Struthio camelus: one gene and its partners. The protein of the gene in region 3 purifies or fractionates together with the protein of the main gene of each other region. This does not show direct contact. Links are inferred from orthologs where the notes say so. Each region holds a gene or a part of one and is shown on either strand. Other genes may lie near its edges.

What was found.
Region 1: the proteins of WWP2 (region 3) and PTPN14 purify together in Homo sapiens (affinity purification with mass spectrometry; 3 studies listed by BioGRID). This does not show direct contact. The link is inferred for Struthio camelus from reciprocal best matches to the Homo sapiens genes WWP2 and PTPN14.
Region 2: the proteins of WWP2 (region 3) and NDFIP2 purify together in Homo sapiens (affinity purification with western blotting; 3 studies listed by BioGRID and IntAct, with this or other methods). This does not show direct contact. The link is inferred for Struthio camelus from reciprocal best matches to the Homo sapiens genes WWP2 and NDFIP2.

What each region holds. Positions count from the first base shown.
Region 1 is NC_090944.1:115,141,221-115,145,932, forward strand, and holds the start of PTPN14 (tyrosine-protein phosphatase non-receptor type 14), read right to left. Parts: upstream 3,451-4,712; 5' UTR 3,269-3,450; intron 2,752-3,268; exon of another isoform or gene 2,716-2,751; intron 1,231-2,715; exon of another isoform or gene 1,011-1,230; intron 1-1,010. UniProt on the Homo sapiens protein: Protein tyrosine phosphatase which may play a role in the regulation of lymphangiogenesis, cell-cell adhesion, cell-matrix adhesion, cell migration, cell growth and also regulates TGF-beta gene expression, thereby modulating epithelial-mesenchymal transition.
Region 2 is NC_090942.1:175,522,789-175,527,500, forward strand, and holds the start of NDFIP2 (NEDD4 family-interacting protein 2), read right to left. Parts: upstream 2,939-4,712; 5' UTR 2,687-2,938; coding exon 2,651-2,686; intron 1-2,650. UniProt on the Homo sapiens protein: Activates HECT domain-containing E3 ubiquitin-protein ligases, including ITCH, NEDD4, NEDD4L, SMURF2, WWP1 and WWP2, and consequently modulates the stability of their targets. As a result, may control many cellular processes.
Region 3 is NC_090951.1:1,475,509-1,480,220, forward strand, and holds the start of WWP2 (NEDD4-like E3 ubiquitin-protein ligase WWP2), read right to left. Parts: upstream 2,840-4,712; 5' UTR 2,751-2,839; intron 2,181-2,750; exon of another isoform or gene 2,034-2,180; intron 1-2,033. Other genes in the region: RNA-binding protein NOB1, read left to right, coding at 2,955-3,017, 3,763-3,895, 4,178-4,311, 4,401-4,472, 4,700-4,712. UniProt on the Homo sapiens protein: E3 ubiquitin-protein ligase which accepts ubiquitin from an E2 ubiquitin-conjugating enzyme in the form of a thioester and then directly transfers the ubiquitin to targeted substrates.

The DNA of each region.
Region 1 (4,712 bases), on a different chromosome or scaffold from region 3:
CTACAGTATAAGGGTTTGTTTTCAGATATCAAGAGCTGCTCTTACGTATCCTCTGTGGAACTCCTCTAGATAATACGCTCAGGCATGCTGCACTTCACTACGAACCTAAACATTAAAAAAAGGCTTTTATGGCAGTTGTTCAGCATAACGTTTGTCCACTTATCTAAAACTTCTTGTAATTGAGTTGGATACATATGTACTAATATACTGCATACTAAATGTTACAGCCTGGCTCCTGCAAAGATTTGTATATATGTTTAATATTATGCATATAAAAGAAATTCCATGGTTTCACAAGCACTACTCAGGAATAAGAATTTAAGCATGTGGGTAAATCTTTGCAGGACTAAGATCTATACATACACTAGTAAGGAGCAATGTCTGCCGAAAACTTCTTACAACTTGCATATTACCAGCAGTTTATAAAAAACCCTCAGCTAACTAAACCTTGCAACAAACAAGCACTTGCTTCCAACGCAGGAGTTGTACTTCAAGTGCACTTTTCACATCGCGTATGTTATATGAATGTTAACTTTAAACCCAAATTAAAACAATATACTTCACTTAAGTAGCGTGTAATCTAATGCAGCCTCACTGGATATGAGGAGAAATAGAACAAAGAGTGGTCTTCTACACCCCTTTGACTGTCGTGGCACCAGAAAAACATAGAAAAAGGAAATAGTATAGTTTTGAAAAGCACGAAGGAAACTCTTTTTAGATTGAGTACTTTCTCCAGGATTGTACTTGCCACTGGCAGCCTAGACAATTTGCAAAAGTACACACAAGCAGATTTGTTTCATAGAAAACTGCTCCATACCTAAACTATGATAACTGACGCCCAGGCATCTGCTGGACAAGAACGACCGGTAAAGAAGTACTTCATCAGTCATTAATAGTAACAACGTTGGCTGCTAGTGATCCTCATAAACAACACTGCACCAAAGCTAATTCTGCTACAATTACAAAAACATTTAAAAGACACATCTAAAATTGTAGTATAACGTACATACACAAGCTCAGTTTGCTCAGTCCCAGCAGATCCTGATTTGATCAACGCTGCATGCAGTCTTTACGCAGGCCTTGATCTGCACTACTAGATCCTCCGAGATCGCTTGGAGTCAATGGCACTTTAAAGCTTTTCCCACACAAATACCACAGCAGAACTGATGGCTGCAAGCTCTCCCACAGACTTAGCGGACTACCCTCCGGCTGATGGACCCAGCTTCAAACAAGAAGTTTGAAAAAATCCCCAACTTTTGTATCATGTCCCATTAGATACACACAAGTGCCCTCTGCCTGTAAGCACCTCTGGCACAGCCTCTCTGAAGAAACCAAGAGAAGTTCAAGAAAGCACTGCCAATAATAGATCAGGGCCTAAAGCTTATTTGCATAACTATAACATCAACGCATGCTTTATTTTACACCATGTAACAAGTACTAGATGTCAGCTACAGACCCCCCAGAGGGCAAGAGCAAAAGCTGTGTAATCTGTATTTTGTCACTCATATTTGATAGGACATTCGCAGCTAGATAACTAGACACTAGCCCCCACTGGGGTTGCCGCCCTTCACATTTCTCCCCCAAAAGAGCTGTCCTTACCAACTTCTCCCATAGTCCCGAGGTTGGCAGGTGGCTTTGACCTCTGATTTGGGGGAGCCATTTTATACATAGATTTTACAAACTCTAAATAATTTCAGCATATAACAGTGTTTTTAGTTTAAAAAAAAAAACTAACAGCAAATATCTACACAGACTTTAAAGAAAAAAAATGGTTTCTGGTAAAAATAGTTCTTTCAACTACTGTTTCAGGCCACATACTAAAAATCTCAGAAAACTTTTTGGACAACAATGTATTCAATCAGAGCCTTTACCAGTCACCGCTCGTTTCCACCTTGTCAGAAGTTACAGAGAGCTTCTAATGGAAACATAAGATTATTTCATGCAAATCACAGATAAAGTGCTCCCGACAGGAAAGCTCCAGCACACATCATACACATATGCCACACATACATTATGTAATACTTGTAGTACCAAATACACTCCCGGAAAGAGAGTCAGTTTGGGATGTTAAAAATTCATTGACTTTGCCCACATCAGAAACGAGAGCAGATGTCATTATTCCCGGCCTTGGTGCAGTTCCTTCGGTGTAACTCGGTGTTACAGTGTTTGCTGGAGACAAACGGCCAGGGCAGGCTTCACTGTAACTAACAAAGAACAAGGTAAATCCGAGGGGGGAGCGGAAAGCTAAACACAGTCACGCCGCAGTGTAAATAAGGGCAGCTCAGCCGACAGCCCAGGCTGCTCCTGCCTATTTACAAACACCTACTGGTTATGGAGATGCTCTGTTATCTAGGAGCCTATCTGGTTAAATTTATAAACTGGAAGGGCTGTTCAAACCGTGTTTATCACAAGCCATCGATTGGTAGGCATAACCCAAGCTTAGCTATTCTCATACTTTGCAAACAGTCATGTATACGTCGCCGAGCTATAATTGCACACTATAAGGCACAGCAAGCCTTAAGCAAATATCGCCTCTCCCTCCCTCCCTCCCTGTCTCGCACACATGCACACCCGCACACACACCGTAAAAGACATTACTGAGACGGCTCCGAAGTCAGCGCGAGCCCGCGGTCGCCGGCAGCAGCCGGGACACGTCCGACACGGGGACGGGCCGGGCAGACTCGAGCAAACTCCGCGGCGGCCGCCGCTCCTTACCTGCTGCGCGGCCGCCGGGCCGGGGGAGCGCGGCCGGCCCCGACCCCGGCCCCGGCTCCGCGCGGGCCCGCCGGAGGCGGCTCTCGGCCCGGGAGGCGGCCGCCGACGGCACCGAGGCGGAGGAGCGCGGCGGGCCGGTGCCGGTGCCGGTGCCGCTGGCGGGAGCCGCTGCCGCCGCCCGGCCCGGCCACGGCGGGGAGTTTCGGCGGGCGGGCGGCCGGCCGGGGGCTGGGGCCGCCGGCGGGGGGGGCCGGGCGCCCTGGGCTCCTGCTGCCGCCCGCGGGTGCGGGCAGGAGGGAGGGAGGGGACTGGTGTCCCGAGGGGCCGGCGGCGGCGGCGGGGCCGGGGCCGGGGCGGCGCGGGGAGTCACGGCCCAGGAATGCCAGGAATGTGGGGCGGCCGCTGCGGCCGCCGGCCCGGAGACGTCGGGGACCTGACTTGGGATTTCTTCTTCTTTCTTTCTTTTCTTTTTTTTTTTTTCACCCCCCCCCCCTTCTTTTACTAACTCCCCCCTCCGCCGCCCCGCTCGCGAAAGAGGAGGGATGAAACCCACCCAAAGGAGGAGGGAGAAAGAGGGAGGAAGAGGAGGGCACAGGCTCCTGCCAATCCGGGCGGGTGCCTGGTGCAACTCTCACAAGGAGGGCAGAGCTGCCAAGTTTGGGGCAGATCCGGAGAGTCTTCCCGTCCCGTCCCGTCCCCTTCCCTTCCCGCTGGTGGGAAGCCGCCCGCCAGCCCTCCCCTTCCCCGCCCCCGGGGCGCCCGTCGGCCCGGCCCGGCCCGGCCTCGGGCGGGTCCGTGGGGGGCCAGGCGAGGCGGGGAGGGAGGCGCGGGAGTAGCCCGAGGCAGGGGGAACCCCCCAGAAATGCGGGGGGTGTAGAGGAGAGAGGGGCTCGCGGCTCCTGCTGCCCCCCCCCCAGCTGGCCCCTGCTGGCCGGGTGCCAACCCACCTCCCCACTACCTCCCTCTTGCCCCCCCAGAATTCATCTCTCTCGGGCCTGCATCAGAACAATCTTTTCTGCTCCTGCCATCCCTTTCTTCAGCCCCCTTTTCTGCTGCTTTTGGCATTTCAGCTGCTTTGGCCTCTCGCTCGTGGCGTCATCCTCGTTCCTTAAAAGGTGGACATCCCTCCTCGTCCAGCTGCGTGGTGGGCTGCTGTGGGAGGCGTGCAGGACCAACACCCGGATGCTGCAGTTGTAGCATTGCAGGTGCCTTGCTGGAGAACAAGCAGGAGAAAACCTGAAGTTGCTTTGAAAGGTGGTGGTTGGCAACTATACGAAATTTCCAGGACATATGGTGCTTGGCAGATACGGAAAGGCCCTTCTGAGGACTGAGAGAAAGAGAAGGGGCATGGGGCACGCGGTGCTGCGGGAAATAGGGAGAACCATCAGGAAGGCCGGGACTACCTAGAGAAGATAAATGGATCAGATGAGACCAGTGGGCATGCGAGTCTTAGAAATGATTTGTACTTATTCTTCAGTGTTGCAGCTGATAGCTGATTTGTGAAACTATTTTTGCCCTAGACTAAGTTTATTTAAAACTATGCACATTCTAAAAAGCATGTGCAAGTGCTTCTGATGCCAGTGGGCACCTGCAGAAAAGTCAAGGGGAGGTATCCCTCTAAAACTATGAGACCAGAACTTAAAGAATATTACAAACAGGGGAAAATCAAGAAAAATAGTGATAATTGAGACGTGATACTAGTTTTTGAGTGTACGCTTGTACACCTTATTGAAGGACTATGTGAGCAGATGCATTGGAGTCCGTGAGGATTACTCAGATTAATAATGGTAAGAAGATCAGGTGCTGAGAGAGGGAAAAGTAGCGCAGATTCCTGATTTTGATAGATAAGTAATTGTATTTAAATACTGTATGTGGAATCACAGGCCTATGCCTTACCTCTGGCATAATATTATTATAATTACATTTTGCAAGGAAAGTCCTTTTCATCCGAGACTCAAACATTTTACAAACACCACACCTTAATGAAGTAAGTAATT
Region 2 (4,712 bases), on a different chromosome or scaffold from region 3:
AGCAAATAACATTTTGAAAGTCTCAGTGTCAAGTAGGCAGATGTATGTATAGTAAAAGAAAAACAATACGGTCCTTCCTAAAAGGTAGTAATCAGTAAGATCTTATTTTGAACTCGGTGGTGCATCAAAGATTAAAACAGCACTTTTGTCGTTCTATTGAATTTGTAGTCAGTTATTTAATGTGCTGTAATTGCACAGGCTTCAGGGAACACTTCTGTAACAAAACTCAGTTACATAAATTGGCCACAAAGTTTAATATACATGGGAAATTGATTGGGCCAACTCTTACTATATTACATCAATATCGTTCCTTTTAGAACACTGCAACAAAAAGCATTTATTCAAAGCTGGGCACCAGCACCATAGTTGGAAGTTTTAAATCAAATATAACAAAAAAAAAAATTACAGAGGCAAATTATCTCTTCATTCCATCTTACCATGCTTTTTTCTACTCCTCTGAGTAACGGAAGCAAAATTTCCATTATATTTATCAGACCTCTAACAGCATACACTTTTAAGGCCTTTTAAAACATAACTTGGTTACTTCAGACCTCAGAGGGAATATAGCATTTGAAGGCTCCTCAGAAAATGCTCTGCCAGCATTTTCATTCACCTTTGTAAAGAAGAGCCAATGACTTTTGGACTTCTGCTAATTCTAAATTATGGTAATGTGGCACAGGAAGAGAAGTATGTTAGAAGGCTGCTAACTAACCCATACAGTGCATTGGGACCTGCTAGTGTCCTAAAGGTATACTTCACTCCTGAGAAGATGCAGACTGCCGGGTATGTTCTTCAGCTATATGACTGTCCCACAATATAATCACGCAAGAGCAAACAGAAATCTTCCATACTATTGGTAGGACTATCAAAATGAATATTTCAAATGCATAACAAAGGCTTTCTCATTATTCATTTTAGAGTATAACCTAGGAACAATCCGAATACAAACGTTTGTATTTATTTTTACATAAGTTCACTCTTAGGAGTTCTTTGCTTGCAACCCAGAAGAGCCATTTACCTCTAGAACATGGCATTAATATCACCAGACCCAGAAATACAAGATAACAGATCAAACAAAAGTAAATGTGACTACTTTTGTGCTCATTGTTTTCACTACTCAAGCTGTAAAACACAAACAGTAAGATGAACAATTCAGGCTTTAGATGGAGGATTGTAAAAGAGGTTTAAACTACAATCAGTAGCAAAGATTTCACATTTGTATGGTATCCCCCTTAAATATGTAGCAAAGCCATGAAGTACATGGAACTAAAGGTTAAAATTGAAAATTTTGAAGAGGCTGACTACACGTAAGCCATTTTTGTGACATAATCAGAAAAGCATACACCTTTTAACTATAACTGACACTAAACTAACAACTGATTGAAACAAGCAGTACACTCAACTCAGGCTGGAAGAAGAGCTTAGTATACTAAGTTACTTTTTCAGTAATGAAGTTTAGGAGGAAGGAAAGAGCATTCAAATTAGACTCAATGAACTGTAAAGTACTTCAGTAAACCACTATCCTTGGTGTATGTGTGCATGCACCCACGTGTGTGTACACATATACATACATATATACATAAACACAGGCCTACAGAAGATCTGTCTTCAGTGTTTTACAGTACACTGAATCTAATCTTTAGTCAGCCACAGTACACGTGTGTGTGCGCATACACATATGTGCAATGGCTTACTTAAGATTAGAATATACACACATTAAAATCTATCCCTGTGCTAGATAGCCAAGCAACTGCTAACAATGGCTTTAGAATACAAGTGACACTTCATTCTCTGACACATGTATTAATTAGAGATATTGCCCTATCCTTAATTTCACAGCTAGACAGCACAAAATACTGTTCTTCAAATAAACTTTTGCCAGGACAACAGCTTGAACTATCAGTGAAATACTCAAACAAAGCCAGGCTCTACGAATTTCTCCTGAACATCACAAAAGTAACAAGCTATACAGAGGAGTCCATTTACTTCTTACCTAAGAGGAAAGCATAAGCCACCCGGCTAGATCAGCGAAGATCAAGACAGCTACCACGCAATCAGTTAACCGGGCAAGAAAAACATACTGCCCTCCCGAGCGGAGAGGAGACCGCTGCCATCCCACCTCAGCTCAACTCAGCCCAGCCCTCAACAGCCCCCGCACCGCCACCGACCGCCCCGAGGCAGCCTAAGGGAGGGGAAGCAAGGCCAGCCTGCGCAGGGCGGACGAGAACAGGGAAGGGCACCGGGATTTTCCGCGAAGACAAGCGAGCAGCTCGGCCGGGCTGAGGCAGCCCCCCTCAAGCACACAGCTCCGCGGCGGGCCCCTGCCGAAGCCAAATCCCCCCCTCCCTTCCCGGGGAGGGGCGGCTATCGCGGAGGGGGCAGGAGGGAGGGAGGGAAAAGACAGGGTCGTGCCCGGGCCCGGGCCCACATCACTGCTGGAGAAACGCGAGGCGATCTCTGTCAGACCCTCACATTTGGAGTCGCGTAGGCCCCAAAAAAGGGGGGGAGGGGAGTAGTAGAAAAAAGAAGGGGGGAGGGGGAAAAAAAGGCGAAGGGGCGGGGATGAAAGGGCTTCCGAGTGGGCTCACCTCCCCCTCCCCGCCACGGACCGACCCGGCGGCCGGGCCTCGCCGCGGCCGGCCGCACTCACCACTTGGTAGCGGCTGGCGGCCTGGTGGTGATCCATCCCGGCCGCCGGCGGACGCACACAGTGGCGCGGCCGCAGCTGCTCCGACCAGCCCGATCCTCGCTCAGCCCTTCCTCCCCGCCGCCCGCCCGCTCGCTCAACCGCTGTCGTCGTCGTCGTCGCTGCCGTCGCCGCCGCCGCCTCCTCCTCGCCCACTCCAGCGACGGAGCCGGTCGCCGCCGCCCCTCCCCCCGCTCCGCCGCGCCCCGCCCTCCACCAGGGGAGGGGCCACACCGCCCACCAACGCCTCCCTTCCTGCCGTTGGGCGGGGGGGGGGGGAAGAGGAGCGCGCTGCGGCCCCGCCCTCTGTGACGCGCCGGGGACCGACCGCCGCCGGGAGTGGGGGGGGAAGGGGACGGTGGGCGCGCGCGCCTCTGCGCAGGCGCGGGGCCGCTGGTCGGCCGTTGGGCGGGGTGTTGGGGGGAAGCGTGGAGGTGTTTAAACGGGCGTGCCCTGCCTGGTGGGGGAAACGTATGGGTTTGTCCGTCTTCTCTGCCGTTATGCGAGGCGCAGCGATTTGCGCCTCGGTGTAACCCCCGCCGCCGGAGCTGCTCGGGGAGTGGAGCTGACGGCGTTGCTGGCGTTGGCAGCGCGGCAGCCCCAGGGGCTGTGCTGAGCGCCCTGCCACCAAGGCCCTGCCGGGCGCTGGCCCTGCTGGCTGGTGTCCCCAGCCCTTCTCGGGGTGGGTGTGTACGCTCAGCCCCTCACAGGGTTTGTGCGCCGCTGCCCTTTCCCCCTCTTTTCGGTAGTATTTTTCCTCCTTCTGCACTATCAGCAAGGCTATTCTGTCCACAAAGCATGCGTAGCCTAGCAGCTTATCCCCATCAGGCACGAATAAATAAATAAGGAATAAAGTAGACATCCTTGAGGCCTAGAAGATGATCTGGAGTAGGAATCTTTCTGTACTAATTTTAAGTCAAGAACCTATTTGTCTTCTGTTCCTTTGAAAATTCAAGGCAAAAGCACCATTCTCTGAGAGGAGGAGGAGGAGGAGGAGAAAAACGTTGTGATCTTCTCCTTCACTCGTCTTTCTAAAACTGTAAATGTTTATGTATTGATGTAACACTGATGACCTCCTGGGGTAAAAACAGTGAAAACTTTCACCCTGGTGGCCTGTCAGATCAGTACGACTCCTTCCTAGGTTCCCAAACTGTCAGATACGCAGTCGTAGTTTAAAACAATTTCCAAACAGCTGGGCATACAGCTCCGAGCCATAGTAGAAAGGAGCGTTTGTATGGGGGGGGGGGGTATAGCAGATCCCTAGGATAAACACTCTCATGAAAGCAGATTCTTGCTATCAGTAATGGCTCATGGCAGAACTTTGTCCCGTATAGCCCAGATCACTGCCTTTATCCAGACAGCCTGCTTGTTCGGAGGCTGACCTGAGCGGCAGGCTAAGCGTTGTCACGCAGGCGGTCATTAGCCTGGATAAGGACTTGCAGGAGTGGAGTTTAAGCCCTAGTATGTGTGTGTAGGAGGGCAGAGAAGTGGAGAGCTGGGGGTTGGTTTCGAGGTGGGGGTGGGAGTGAAGGTACACAGGGAGGAGGGAGCGGGAGCATGATGTGCCCAGGACCTCACTTGAAGCCCATCTCTGGCTACCACAACGGTTATTAATAAGCAAACAGACCAAGTTTTGGGAACTTACACGGCCTACTCTTGTTTGTTGCATTTCTTATGTTCCTCATTGAACAACTTGGTTGTGCATAAAAAGGCCTAACAGTCTAGAAACAAAGTTGGCAGAGAAATACAGGTTAGAAATGGACTAATGTTATTATTTTCCTGGCAGGATTTCCTCCCTTTTCCTCTTTACCTCTATACATAATGAAAGTTTCTGTGTTTAATTATTCTGTCTTAAAGGGAAGATTTATTAGTACAGGTCATGTTAAGTTTAAGAATAGCATGTACAGAGTACTGTACTGTGCTTCTGTTACCAAATAGAAGGAAAACCTCTTAATTGTATTATCAGATTTCATGGGAAAGGGAATTTAGACCATTCATATAATAGGTTTAATTTCTAGTGTCTTCT
Region 3 (4,712 bases):
CTGAGTAACAATACGGGTCCACAAGCAGTCTGCGCGGCCTCAGCCAATGCATCCTTTGGAAGGAACAAGTCAGGAACACTGCGGTAGAAGAGAGGAAGCTCCGGTCACACTATGGGAAAGTAGCCACATCCCTTGAGGACAGGCCAGGTCATTTCCTGGTGGCAAAATTTCACAGAAAAAAAAAACCTAAAACCCTGCAGCGCAGCAGCTAAGCGATGGGAACCACAGCTGCTCTCAACTGCTGCAAAGGATCACGCTGCAGCACAGGAAACTGGGGCCTCCAGCTTCTCAAGCACTCACCACTTCCTCACTTTCTCGGGCACAATGACTGTCACTGCAGCCGCAGCGCTTCACCCTGCCCCTGCACCACCTGCGCACCTCGCCTCTGAGACGCCTGCCCGGGGCTGGGAGCGGGCAGCGCGTGGCTGGGCAGGAAGGGGACTTGGGATGGCCAGGGACGCAGCAGAACACGTGGCTGCGCCTCTGCCGAAACAACCGACAACAAAGCAGAAGTACAGTCATGCAGCATGCACAAGCACGAGTTGTTTGGTTTGGGCCCAAGAGAGTAGGCTATTGATTCCCACCATCTTCCTGAGCCTGCAGACAGCAGTCATCCTTTACGCACTTCACAGGCAGAAGAGCTAGAGGGGACCTGCTGAATCCAGACTAACACAATCCTGTGGCAGAGAAGCGGCGCCTGCAGTAAATTCCAAGGTCACAGACCACAGGGGCCTGCCCACATAAACACCCGACACAACAGGACGGATGGAGGCGCTCGCTGGTTATTCCCCGGGCAGATGTGAACACAAGAGTCTCAATTCTGTTGCCTGGGGCAGCAGTGAGAGCTCAGACTGAGTCAAACCCGATCGCCCTCCCAACCCTGCGAAGCCGAAAGCACGCCTCCTGACCAGCTCTGGATTCGAGTCCCCGCCAGCCTCTCCATCCTACCTCCACCCTGATGATCACGAGCCCTCAGGAAAAAGTACAAAAAGGGGAAAGACAGCACATTTCCACTTCCAGCTCTCTGCCAGCTTCTCTGCTGCACAGGAGTCTTTCCTTCCCCGTCCACTCCGCGCCCAGCCATCGCCCCCTCCACGTTGCAAAGGCTCTCCAAGCGTTGCCTTCCTGCTGGAGAAACCACCACAGCACAACCCACAACCCCTTGGGGCTAGCGGAGTCGGCCAGGCCACCAAACCCAGGCCCTTGCTCTACCTTAGCAGGCTCCACCTCAAAGCCTGACCAGTCCCTTTTAAACCTCCTTTTGTAGTAGAACCGAGTCGTCACTCTCCATCCCCTTCTGTGTGCCACCCCAGCAGGAAATCGCCTTCCTGAGCACGGCAAACCAGAACGGCACACCGTACGCCAGCTGAGGCCTCGCCAGGGCCTTGCACAGTCCCCGTTTCTGCCTGGGAAAGCTCTGATATCAGACTTGCCGCTTTCTTGGCTCTGTCAGATTGGTGGGTCAAGGCTTGCTAATGCATGCCTGTCCCTTCCCCCTCACTCCCAACGGATAAGAATTTACTTGTGGAAGGAGGTCTTTTTATGAAGCTAATTGCATTTGCTATTATTACAGTTATTCCTACTCCAATTACTCTGCCCACAGATCACCCTGTCCTTCCCTTAGGATATCGTTATTCCTCGTGTTTGCTGCGAGTCCCCACCTCTGCATTACCAGCTTATTTCATTAGTGCCGTTCGCAAGGACCACAAAAACCAGCCAGACTCATGTGCCCTTCCCAAACAGCCACCGCCTGCAACCAGATACGGGGCTAGAGGGACCTGCGAGCCTGCCCTGTAGGGCATTTCTTACATTAATATTAGCGGTCTGGCCCTCAAAGTTACTATTACCCAGGGCTCATTCCCCTCTAGCAGGAATCTGGATCCCCATTCCTCCCCCCATAAACACAGGCCCTGTTTCTGCTCTCCCCCCCCCCCCACCCCACGCCAGCCCGTCCCGGCGCCAGCTCGCCCCGAGCTGAACTCCGCCAGAGTTCAGGAGGGCAATCTGGCAGCGTTAACCGCTTGCAGTTTCACCTCCCGCGCAGGGATCGCCCCTCGCCAGCCGGTGCTGTCGCCACGCCGGAGCGCGCAGGGCCGACGGCCGGAGCCCCCAGGCCATCGCCCACATATGGCGACGACAAACCCGCCGCCCGTTTGGGCTATGCCTCCTTCTTCTTTTTCCCTTTCTCTCCCCCCCCCTTTTTTTTTTTTTTTTGTTTTAATCTCGACTCTTTCCCCCACTTTCTCCTTCCCGGCTCGTGCACCGCCCCTCGCTCCCGTCTCCCTTCCGCGTCCAGCTCCCCTCCGCTCGGCCCCGGCGCCCCCCGTCTCCTCTCGCGCCCTCCCTGAAGCACGTCGGGAGCTTTTCCCCGCGCGCTTCCCCCGGACACCGCTGGCCCCGCTGCACCGCGGGGCGGCACCGGCTCCGGTACCGGTACCGGCACCCTCAGCCGCCTCCGCGGGCACCGGGGCCCCGCCGGTGAGCCCCGACCGGCCCCCCGGGGAGGCCGGACGCGCGGCCGGGCCCCTCCCCGCGGCCCGGGGCGCAGCGCAGCGCGCGGCCCTGCCCGCCAGCGGCCGCGGCACCGGGGCACCGGGCCGGGAGAGCACCGGAGCGGGCCGCCCCGAGCCGAGCCACGCTCGGCGGAGCGCCGCGGGCAGCGCCGGGCCGAGCTGCGCGGCGGCAGCGCCGGGCGGACGCGTCTTTCCCCCCCCCCTCCGCCCGCGGTGCCGTCCCGCCACCCCCGTTACCGGCGGCCGCTGCGCTCCCACTTCCGGCTCTAGGCACCGCCGTCATGTGACCCGCGCTCGTCACCTGACCCGCGCGGCCCGGAAGAGGGTCACGCGGGCCGGCGGCTCCCGGCGTGCCCCGCGCGGACTACAGCTCCCAGGGGGCGGCGCGACGCGGCGCGGTACGGGGCGCCGTAGGGGTCAGTAGCGGCGGCGGCGGCTGTCATGGCGCGCGTGGCGCACGTCGTGGCCGACGCCGGCGCCTTTCTGCGCGCGGCGCCGCTGCAGGTACCGGGCGGGCGGCGGGGCCGGGCCGGGGGGAGCGGGGCGGGCGGCGGGGCCGGGCCGGGCCGGGGGGAGCGGGGCGGCGGGGCCGGGCCGGGCCGGGCCGGGGGGAGCGGGGCGGGCGGCGGGGCCGGGCCGGGCTGGGGGGAGCGGGGCGGGCGGCGGGGCCGGGCCGGGCCGGGGGGAGCGGGGCGGCGGGGCCGGGCCGGGCCGGGCCGGGGGGAGCGGGGCGGGCGGCGGGGCCGGGCCGGGCCGGGGGGAGCGGGGCGGGCGGCGGGGCCGGGCCGGGCCGGGGGGAGCGGGGCGGCGGGGCCGGGCGGGCGGCGGGGTCGGGCCGCGGGGAGCGGGCGGCGGGGCCGGGCCGGGCCGGGGGGAGCGGGGCGGGCGGCGGGGCCGGGCGGGGCCGGGCCGGGCCGGGGGGAGCGGGGCGGGCGGCGGGGCCGGGCCGGGCCGGGCCGGGCCGGGGGGAGCGGGGCGGGCGGCGGGGCCGGGCCGGGCCGGGGGGAGCGGGGCGGGCGGCGGGGCCGGGCCGGGCCGGGGGGAGCGGGGCGGGCGGCGGGGCCGGGCCGGGCCGGGCCGGGGGGAGCGGGGCGGGCGGCGGGGCCGGGCCGGGCCGGGCCGGGGGGAGCGGGGCGGGCGGCGGGGCCGGGCGGGGCCGGGCCGGGCCGGGGGGAGCGGGGCGGGCGGCGGGGCCGGGCCGGGCCGGGGGGAGCGGGGCGGAGCGGGACTGACGGCGCTGCGCCGGCAGGAGATGGCGCAGAGCGTGTACACCGTGCCCGAGGTGGTGGCTGAGATCCGCGACAAGCCGACGCGGCGGCGCCTGGCCGCGCTGCCCTACGAGCTGCACTTCCGCCGCCCGCGGCCCGACTACGTGCGGCTCGGTGAGCCCCGGCCCTGGTGTCGCCCCCCCCTTCCCCGTCTGCGGTCCCTTTGTTTCTCGTTCCCCCCCACCACCCCCCAGCCCTGGCCCCAGTGTCTCAGCCCTGATTTGCCTCCCCCCCACCCCCAGCCTGGATCCCAGTGTCTCCCACCCCTCCCTGACCAGTCTCCCAACCTGGTCCCAGTCCCTACCTCCTCCCACTGCCCCAGCCTGGTTCTGACCTGACCCGGTCCCCCCCTGGCCCGGCCCGGCCCCCGCCGCCACCCCGGCCGTCTCTCCGCAGTGACCGACTTCGCCAAGAAGACCGGCGACTACCCAAGCCTCTCGGCCACTGACCTCCAAGTGCTCGCCCTCACCTACCAGCTGGAGGCGGAGATCGTCGGCTCTGACCGGCTCCGGCGGGAGCCCGAGGACAAGGTAGGGACAGACACAGGGCTGCCTGTGGGGCTGGGCCCCGCTGCCGTGGCAAGCTCTAGCCCTGCCAACCCGCCACGCTCCCTCCCCAGGTGCAGCTCAGCTCGACCCCGCAGCACCCCGAGGCCCCCCTGCACCTCGCTGGCTTCCACCTGCCCTCCAAGGTAAGGGATGGCGACACGACCCTCTGGGGTGAGGGCTGGGGACAGGGATGTAGTCCTTCGAGGTACGGGCAGGGGACACGTTCCTCTGGGGTGAGGGCTGGGGAGAGGGATGCAGCCCTCCGAGGTGCGGGCAGGGGCCGGGACCCTCCAGGGGACAGGGACGAAGCCCTGCAGAGTCCCTGGGCAGGCTGCAGGCGAGGGACACCCTGTCCTGTGTTGCGCTGCAGCACAAGCACCTGA